2 linked regions of the Neurospora crassa OR74A genome follow. The protein of the gene in region 1 purifies or fractionates together with the protein of each later gene. This does not show direct contact. Links are inferred from orthologs where the notes say so. Each region holds a gene or a part of one and is shown in the gene's direction. Other genes may lie near its edges.

What was found.
Region 2: the proteins of arp-4 (region 1) and stk-18 purify together in Saccharomyces cerevisiae (affinity purification with mass spectrometry; 4 studies listed by BioGRID, with this or other methods). This does not show direct contact. The link is inferred for Neurospora crassa OR74A from reciprocal best matches to the Saccharomyces cerevisiae genes ARP4 and TRA1.

Annotation. Positions count from the first base shown.
Region 1 is NC_026501.1:2,713,297-2,717,831, reverse strand, and holds the start of arp-4 (actin), read left to right. Parts: upstream 1-1,500; 5' UTR 1,501-1,669; coding exon 1,670-1,727; intron 1,728-1,808; coding exon 1,809-3,160; 3' UTR 3,161-3,618; coding exon of another isoform or gene 3,619-4,535. Other genes in the region: NCU16367 (hypothetical protein), read left to right, coding at 45-1,019; NCU02554 (golgi complex component), read right to left, coding at 3,619-4,535. UniProt on the Saccharomyces cerevisiae protein: Chromatin interaction component of the NuA4 histone acetyltransferase complex which is involved in transcriptional activation of selected genes principally by acetylation of nucleosomal histone H4 and H2A. The NuA4 complex is also involved in DNA repair.
Region 2 is NC_026505.1:3,832,611-3,836,898, reverse strand, and holds the start of stk-18 (histone acetylase complex subunit Paf400), read left to right. Parts: upstream 1-1,284; 5' UTR 1,285-1,527; intron 1,528-1,985; 5' UTR 1,986-2,078; coding exon 2,079-2,130; intron 2,131-2,202; coding exon 2,203-4,288. Other genes in the region: NCU01380 (hypothetical protein), read left to right, coding at 1-541. UniProt on the Saccharomyces cerevisiae protein: Essential scaffold subunit of the transcription coactivator SAGA complex. SAGA acts as a general cofactor required for essentially all RNA polymerase II transcription.

The DNA of each region.
Region 1 (4,535 bases):
AGCCTCCGCTCTGAATCATAACCCAGCAAACGAATGTCACGAGAATGCCCATAATATCGGAGGAAGAAGAGGAGGATGGCACGATGCTGTCCCACCCTTCAGAAGAAGACAACCACGATGATGGCTCGATATCCGGAGACGAGGATTCTTACGACGAGGATGACATCTCGGACGACGACGGCGACGACGAGCACCTCGCGCCCCCACCGCCCGTCTCGCAACATACCTTCGCCCCTCCCTTCTACGGTCGCCCACCGACCCCTCTCCCACCCTCCCCCTCTTTAACCTCCCTGCTGCGCCCCTCGCGTCCCACTACCCCGGACGCCTCCGACGACGAGACAGTAGCCAACGGCGGCGGTGGGGGTCCAGAGGGCAGCAACGAGCCCCTCCCGCGCGCCAGCCCCCGCGTACCCACGTACGAGTACTACGGCTTCGTCCTCTACCTCTTCAGCAGCCTGTCGTTTTTGATCTACCTACTGTGGGCCTACCTGCCTTCACCGTTCCTGCATGCGTTGGGCATCTACTACTACCCCAACCGGTGGTGGTCGCTGGCCATTCCGAGTTTCCTGACAATGACGCTGGTGTACATCTACGTGGCGCTGGCGGCTTACAATACCGAGTACCTCACACTGCCGTTGGGATCGATTGAGACGATTGTGGATGAGGCGGCGCAGGTGGCGGTGGTGGATGGGAAGGGCCAAATCATTAGGCATGATAAGAAATGTGGCATCAAGGAGGAGAAGAGACAGTATGGGCATGGCTATGGACATGGGAGGCATGGGTCGACGGATAGGGAGGTGCTCTTACCTGGGGGAGGATTGAATTGGAGGGAGGTCTGGAATGAAGGGACGGATGCGGTGATGGATGTGCCACTGGCGGGAGTTTGTGAGGTTTTGTATGGAGAGGGGAGGGAGAAAGGGGTGGAGAGTGAGGAGGATGAGGAGGACTATGAAGGAAAGGGGATGTTGCATAGTCCTGGGAATGGACTGGATGGCTCGAGAGTTGGTCGATGGAGTTAACACAGGTTATGAAGGTCCTGAGACAGGATAGACACCTGATCTCTGCTGTATTGTTGTTTTGTCCATTGTGAAATATGATACCCATTTGTTCTTTTTGGGGGTGGCATAATGCTCTGGGTGAATCCGTTGTCGGTATCGTATACAGCTGAGAGTTCTACTTCCCATGGATGTCGTAACTTTGACTTCTAGGACTTCTAGCGAGTTCGTGGGCTCTGGATCAGCAACGACAGGCCAGCGACAATCTTTGAGGAGTTTAACCAAAGCTAACTGCTCATGTGCGTCTTACTTCTCTTCAAGCTTAAAAGACCTATCAACAAGTTAACAGAGCTCTTGACAGGTTCGTTGGATTGCTATTTCCATTTTCTGTCCCTGATGCCCTATTACCGTAGAGGTACGTACCGCGCCCCACTTTTATGTAGCTGGAGGAGAGCCTGTCCGGCCTTTTACTGGTATTCACGCGCGCGCGCCCCTCGTCTTTGAAGCTCCGTTGTCAAATTCCATTTGATTTCCAGTTCATCGAACTTCAACGGAACGCGACGGGACCGAGCTATTAGACGCGCAGCGCTGTTTGGAGATCCCCGCTCACACCACTTCTTGCCCTCCGATAATACACCTCAGCGATTTTCCATTATACAGCGTCGGTGCCTAACATGTCCCACCAACAACCTCTCTCGTCGTCGGTCCAGCCGACTGACATCTATGGCGGAGGTAAGCCTAGTCCAAACGCCTCTGACCAGCGACATTGCCCAAGCTTCAAGGCTTGCAATTGACGGCTGATTATTTCCTTAGATGAGGTATCCGCGCTTGTTCTCGATCCGGGCTACTGCAACACTCGCGCCGGCTATGCTGGCGAGGAAATGCCCAAGCAAGTTCTCCCTTCTTTTTACGGCCACATCAATGGGCGTGACGTATTCGGCGACGAGTATATCGTGCCAAAACCGGGCTTCGAAGTGCGCAACTACATGAACCGCGACAGCGTTGTCGAAGATTGGGATGCTGCCACCAGGATGTGGGAACATGTTCTCGTCAAGCGTTTGCAGCCCGAGCGATCAACACCTCCCAGCAAAAAGGGTATCAACATTAGTGACGATGGCGATGTGCCCATGGAAGACGATGGAAACAACAACGAGGATGCTACGGACGCGCTGGAGAAGCCACTGGCCGAGAACCCTCTTCTTATGACCGAAGCGCCGTGGAACTCGCCCAAGGCGCGCGAGAAGGCCATCGAAATCAGCATGGAGACTTGGGGCGTGCCCGCATTCTGGCTTAGCAAGACACCTGTGCTCGCAGCATTTGCGGCCGGAAAGGCCACGGCTCTGGTAATAGACGTGGGCGGTGCCAACACGAGTGTCACGGCCATCCACGACGGCATGGTCCTCAAGCGATCGATTCAAAGGTCTCCGGTGGGCGGTGTTTGGCTGAGCAGCCAGATCTGCAAGATGTGGGACGGTAGTGAGCCCAAGGTCGACGTTGTGCCGCGGTTCATGGTCGAGAGTAAGAAGCCCGTGGAGGCCGGTGCGCCTGCCGAAGCCAACCTGCGAAAGTTTAACTTCGACATCCACCCGTCCTTCCGCGCTTACGAGGAAGAGCGTGTTCTCACCGAGTTCAAGGAGTCTGTTGTCGAGGTGTGGCGTGGTCCCCAGCGGTTCACGACCCCCGGAAACGAAGATGCTGTCCGTACACAACCCGGCCGGGTCTTCGAGATGCCCGACGGCAGCAATCAGATGTGGCGTGAGCAGCGCTTCAAGGTGTCGGAGGGCATGTGGGACGAGACGGCTGCCTATAACAGCACTGACGAGGAAGGACGTGTTACTAAGGCTCAGACGATCCCGGCTCTCATCAAGGCGGCCCTCGAGGGTGTTGATGTTGATCTCCGCCCCAACATCCTCGGCAACGTTGTTGTCACGGGTAGTACAAGCTTGTTGAACGGTTTCAACGACCGTCTCAACCACGAGCTCGCGCAAATGTACCCCGGTGTGAAGATCAAGATCCATGCGGCGGGTTTGACGACCGAGAGACGCTTCGGTGCTTGGATCGGAGGAAGCATTCTCGCCAGTCTCGGAACCTTCCACCAAATGTGGATTTCGCGAAAGGAATATGATGAGAACGGCGCGGGCATTGTCGAGAAGCGCTGCAAGTAGGATTTCACTTTGTCAATTGCAGAAAAAGAAAGTTGTCGAGGCATGAAGTGGAAAACCCTCCCACGCCGCGCTATGGAAATGGCGGGAGGCTACAAAACATCGGATTCCAAGTCAGGCCACAATGGTTGATGCCTAAAGTGCTCACACATTCATGGAGTTTGTGTGGGGTGGAGTGTGGTGGTCATATAAGATGGGCATGATATTTTCTACGTCGCTAATTATCAGGCAGGTGTATGTTATGGTCGCACGATATGGCGCGGAGGCGTTCCGGAGAAATGGATTTTCAATGCTTTCAGCTTATGAAAGATACACGCCAACCATTGCCTGTATTGCCAGTTTTGACTTTAATCACGGCTAGATCCCAGAGCTTCAACTGTCTCCAAGTAGTTCATTCACCGTAAAGCTTCTACGTACAAAGTGTAATTTCTTCTAGACAATCCATAATCCTCTCATCAGTCCTACCTGTCAATGGGGCAGCTATACTCTCTCTTCGTTCCAAAACTAGCTCCTTTGGAAACCGCGCCCCCATGTTTCATCTCAAGAGCGTCCAGGCATGCTTGATGGTAGATGTGTCTGCAGGCCAGCACAACCAGAGGGCTAAGCTTCTGTTCCCGGTTTGCCACTATTGGCCCTTGCACGCCTTCATGTCCAGAAGTGTTTGCTTGCTGGTTCGGGTCGTTCATTGACTCCCCTTGCTGCTTCAATTGCGGGCTCACAGCCTTTCCCTTGCCCTTCCCCTTTCCATCTCCATTTGCATTTCCATTATACTTCTCCCCACCCTGGGGCCCGTCCGTTGCCGGCCACGCATGATCCTTGCCCTTCCCCCGTTCAGTAGTAGCACTCGCCGCCTTGTTTTTGCTCATGGTGAGTTGCTTCCTCGCCTGGCGTTGACTCTCCTCAGCAGCCTGGCGATCTTCCCACGCTTCGTAGACATTACCCGCCACACCAGGACCCCAAACTCGCCGGCCGCAGGCCTCGCAGGTGGAGCCTTTAGGACGCCAACCTCGCTGGCGGAGTTGGACGGCTTGGCTTACACTCACAAAAAGACTGCGTTCCAAAAGCCGGTTTGAGAGGCTAAGGATGGATTCTTCGTATGCGTATGCGGCGAAGATACTGGAGAGAACTGAACGGAGATCTGCAAGGTTAGGCGACGACGCCGCGGCGCGAGTGAGGAACGCACGAAGAATACGGAGGAAGGATAGATTGGCGTTTATTGCTGGAGGTTGTATATCACCCGTGTCTGCTGCAGATCGAGAGGTACGGGTTGATGTGGATGAGAGGAGGGCTGTAAAGGTGTCTTGCACGAGCGATCGTGCCAAGGTGACAAGCTTTTCTGTCTCTAATGACATATGGAATGGTTCACTGTTGGGGTTAG
Region 2 (4,288 bases), on another chromosome or scaffold:
CGGTGGTGGTTCCGGTGGTGGTTCCGGCGGTGGCTCCAACGGTGGTTCCAACGGTGGCTCTGGATCGTCTCCTTCACCATCCACCACTGCTCCGGCTGCTCCTCCCACTAATGCTCCTGGTGGAGGTGGAGGTGGAGGTGGAATCTTCATCACAGCCCCGGTTCCTGATGCTCCCACCACTTCTGCTCCTGCTCCTCCTGCTCAAACCGGCGGCGGCTCTTCCGGTGGTGGGTCTGGCTCTGGGTCTGGCTCTGGTTCTGGTTCTGGCTCTGGCTCTGGCTCTGGCTCTGGCTCTGGCTCTGGCTCTGGTGGCTCCGGCTCCGGTGGCTCGGGCAGCTCCGGTGCTGGATCTGCTTGCAGCACTGATGGCATGTGGAACTGCGTTGATGGAAAGTCATACCAGCAGTGCGCTGCCGGCGTCTGGACGCCCGTCATGCCACTTGCTGCTGGCACCGTTTGCGATGTCGGCCAATCTACTTCTCTCAACATCAAGGCTGCTGGCAAGAAGATGAGGCGCCTTGCCGTTCGTTTCAGGGGTTAAAGCGTCAAACTCCAACACTCATTCAAACATAAACAACACTTTCTTTCTCTTCGTTCATTACACACATCTTTGGGATCTTTTTTGGGGGCTCTTGCATTGGATAAAGCAACACATTAGCAATACCCGGCGGCGCATTTTGTTTAAAAGCCTTTCTTTTCTTGACACAAACAGCTTGTAGTATTACCATGTACATTCTCTATAACACTAGAATAAACAGAATTTGGACATACCCATAATATTCACCCTGAGCTTTATGTGACCACATATGTAGATCTGAAGAAAAAGAAATCAAGTTCGTGTGGGAACAATAATGTGATAGGTCTTGAACACTTGAACCGGACTTCCAGCAAACGCAAAGGGTCAATAACTCATGAGCGTGCTATAGGATCTCCAAAGCTACTAAATGAAGAGTGCAACGCGTCCCATGTGTCGTTGTTATGTCTCCTTTTTGCTCGAACATCGCGCAGATGGTGGCCCTGAAAAAGCGTCGATCGTAAACGGCAGTGGATCAGTCTTGGCATTTCGTGTAAGTGATAAGATAAGCTCACTCGATAAGATCAGATCGACAGCACATCAGCCGCTTATACAAGGAACCGGCTTGCCTGCCGAGAGCTCAAGTTTCACGGGTGACCAATCAGAAAGTTGTAAACTTCGGAACAATATTCAAACGGATGCCTAGCGCCGTTGGATTTGGCGACCGGACGCCCCAGCTTCGCGTTCCCTGGGATTTTTCGATTTGCGACCGCGCCGCTCTGCCGCCCCAGGTTGCACTTTCCACTGGAGGAGCAACTGTCGCAACCTTCTGACAGCGGCGCATTTTTCCGCTTGAGATGCAATTCACTTGATACCCCATCAACTACTTTTTGTTTTATTCCAAACTCTCACTGCCATTTTGCGCTACCTACGATAACTATTCATTTGCCATACCCACATCCTCCGCACTTGGATGATAATAACGACGATTTCCTTCTGCTATGGCGTCATAAGTGAGTCTTGATTTCAGTTACTTCTCTCGAGCGACGAGGCCATGTTTCCACTCGCTCCATCTCCAGCCTGATGGATCGAGCCTTCCCCCATACCGACCGCATCGTTACCCCTCTACCTACCTACCTACCTACCTAGAGGTACCGACATCTACCGGGACCCTCGATCATCAATAGTAGCTTCATGCCGGTGTTTACTGCCCGACCTTACGGAACCTGCATCTATCTCCTGCCTGCCTTTCAACAGCTCATCTGCACCTGCTGGTGGCCCGTTCCGTACAGGTACCTACCTGGCCTTTGTATGCCTGAGTGGATCGAGCATACCCCCTTCCCGTCTTTTGCGACAGTCTGCCGCCGACACACCATGATGCTTGGTTATACCTCCCGCCCGTCCCGTCACCTCAGCCTTGTCGACCCGGTCTGACATGCGACCTGGCGCTCATCGTAACTAACTTGCATAGGCTGAACATAGCTATCCTTTCTCCCCTTCCTCCATGCCAATAGAGCTTTACCGACAGCTTTTCTACTACTGCCCGAGGTGAACGTCGCCAGCCATGGCGAACCTAATTGACGATGTCATCAGGAAGCTGTGCACTCCAGAAATTGGTACGTTTACTTACCCTTCCCATCCTTCTGATGCTTCGTGGGTCGGTGCTGACACCGAGTGCCTCCTTACAGAGCTTCGGCTTAAGGTCGAAGCTGCGATCAACTTGCGCGACAGCCTCGACCACTATGTGACCGGTCCAGCATACTCTCCGTTCCTCAAGCGCGTGATACCTCCCTTCATCATGATTTTGCGACAACCACCAGTGTTTCAGAGCAAGACGATGGACCAAGTCAACATGCAGAAGCTGCGAAATTGCATCCTCGAGATTCTTCATCGCCTCCCTACCTCGAACACGTCGCCCGAGCCCTTCGAACCCTTCGCCGAAGAAGTTGTAGACCTGCTCATGGGTCTTGTGCGAGAAGACAATGAAGACAACGCGGTTCTCTGCGTCAAGATCATATCCGAAATCATGCGCCACCAACACAAAGTCTTGGGTTCCAAAGTCCAGCCCTTCCTGAACCTGATACAGGAGCTATTCGAACAGATGGCATTGGTGGTAAAGGAACAGCTTGACGATACATCCACGTCGGTGGTCGGCCCCCCAGGCGCCCCTTCAACCCCCGGTAGCACCCAAACGAGCTTCATGCCACACCAACAATCCCCGAGACCAGGCTCTCCTGTCGCCCCTGGCGCCGCCGACTTCAGCGCAGATGCTGGACAACAATCTGGTCGGCCCTTGCTGAAGGGCATGCAATCCTTCAGGGTGCTGTCCGAGTGTCCCATTATTGTTGTGTCTATCTTCCAGGTCTATCGCAACAGTGTGACAGCCAATGTCAAACTTTTCGTTCCCCTCATCAAGTCGGTACTGCTTTGCCAGGCAAAAGCGCAGGAAAAAGCTCACCAAGACGCTGCAGCTAGAGGGACCATCCATACCGGCGTCAGCCCCAATATCAAGAATCGGGTGGCATATGGGGAGTTCATTACCGCCCAGGTGAAGACCATGAGTTTCTTGGCTTACCTTCTAAGATCATACTCCAATCAGTTGTCGGATTTTCTCATGGTGTTGCCAGAGATCATAGTGAGGCTTTTGAAGGACTGTCCGCGAGAGAAGTCAGGCGCGCGGAAGGAGCTGCTCGTCGCTATTCGCCACATTATCAACTTTAACTTCCGGAAAATCTTCTTGCCCAAGATCGACGAGCTGCTGGATGAGCGCACTCTGATAGGCGACGGTTTGACAGTATACGAGACCATGAGACCGTTGGCGTACAGCATGTTGGCCGACCTTATTCACCACGTAAGGGACAGTCTTACTCCTGATCAGATTCGCAAGACAGTCGAGGTGTATACGCGAAACCTACAAGACAACTTCCCCGGCACCAGTTTTCAAACCATGAGCGCAAAACTTCTACTCAATATGGCGGAATGTATTGCCCGCTTGCCGAACAAGGTCGATGCACGGCATTATCTAATGATGATTCTCAATGCCATTGCCGACAAGTTTGCTGCCATGAACAAGCAGTACGCAAATGCGGTCAAACTTTCAAAGCTGTACGCCCAGCAAGCTGCCGACAACACGCCCGAGACGTATTTGGCTGACAAGGAGCACCCCCCGCAGTGGGACGAAATTGACATCTTCTCCGCAATGCCCATCAAAACCTCTAACCCTCGGGACCGTGCTGCCGATCCGGTCGTTGACAACAAGTTTCTGTTCAAGAACCTCATGACCGGCTTGAAGAACACTTTCTATCAGTTGAAGAGCTGCAATCCGACTACCGTGCCAGATCTGGCCAATGCACCCGCACACTGGGTTGATGTTGCTTACGGCTTCACTGCTGAGGAGGTTGAGGTTATCGTCAAGCTTTTCCGTGAGGGTTGCTACGTGTTCCGGTATTACGATAGCGAAAAGCCTGCAGCCGAGTCACCCTTTACTTCCACAGTCGAATACATGGCAAACTTCTTCATGGTTTCCCTCACAAAGGAGGAAAAAGATCTCCTTGAGACCTTCGCTACGGTTTTCCATGTTGTAGACCCTGCGACCTTTCACGAGGTCTTTCAGCAAGAGATCCCACGATTGTACGACATGATCCACGAGCACACTGCGCTTCTTCAAATCCCCCAATTTTTCCTGGCGAGCGAAGCGACATCGCCCAGCTTTTGCGGAATGCTTCTGCGCTTTCTGATGGAGCGGATCGAGGATGTGGGCTCTGCCGATGTGAA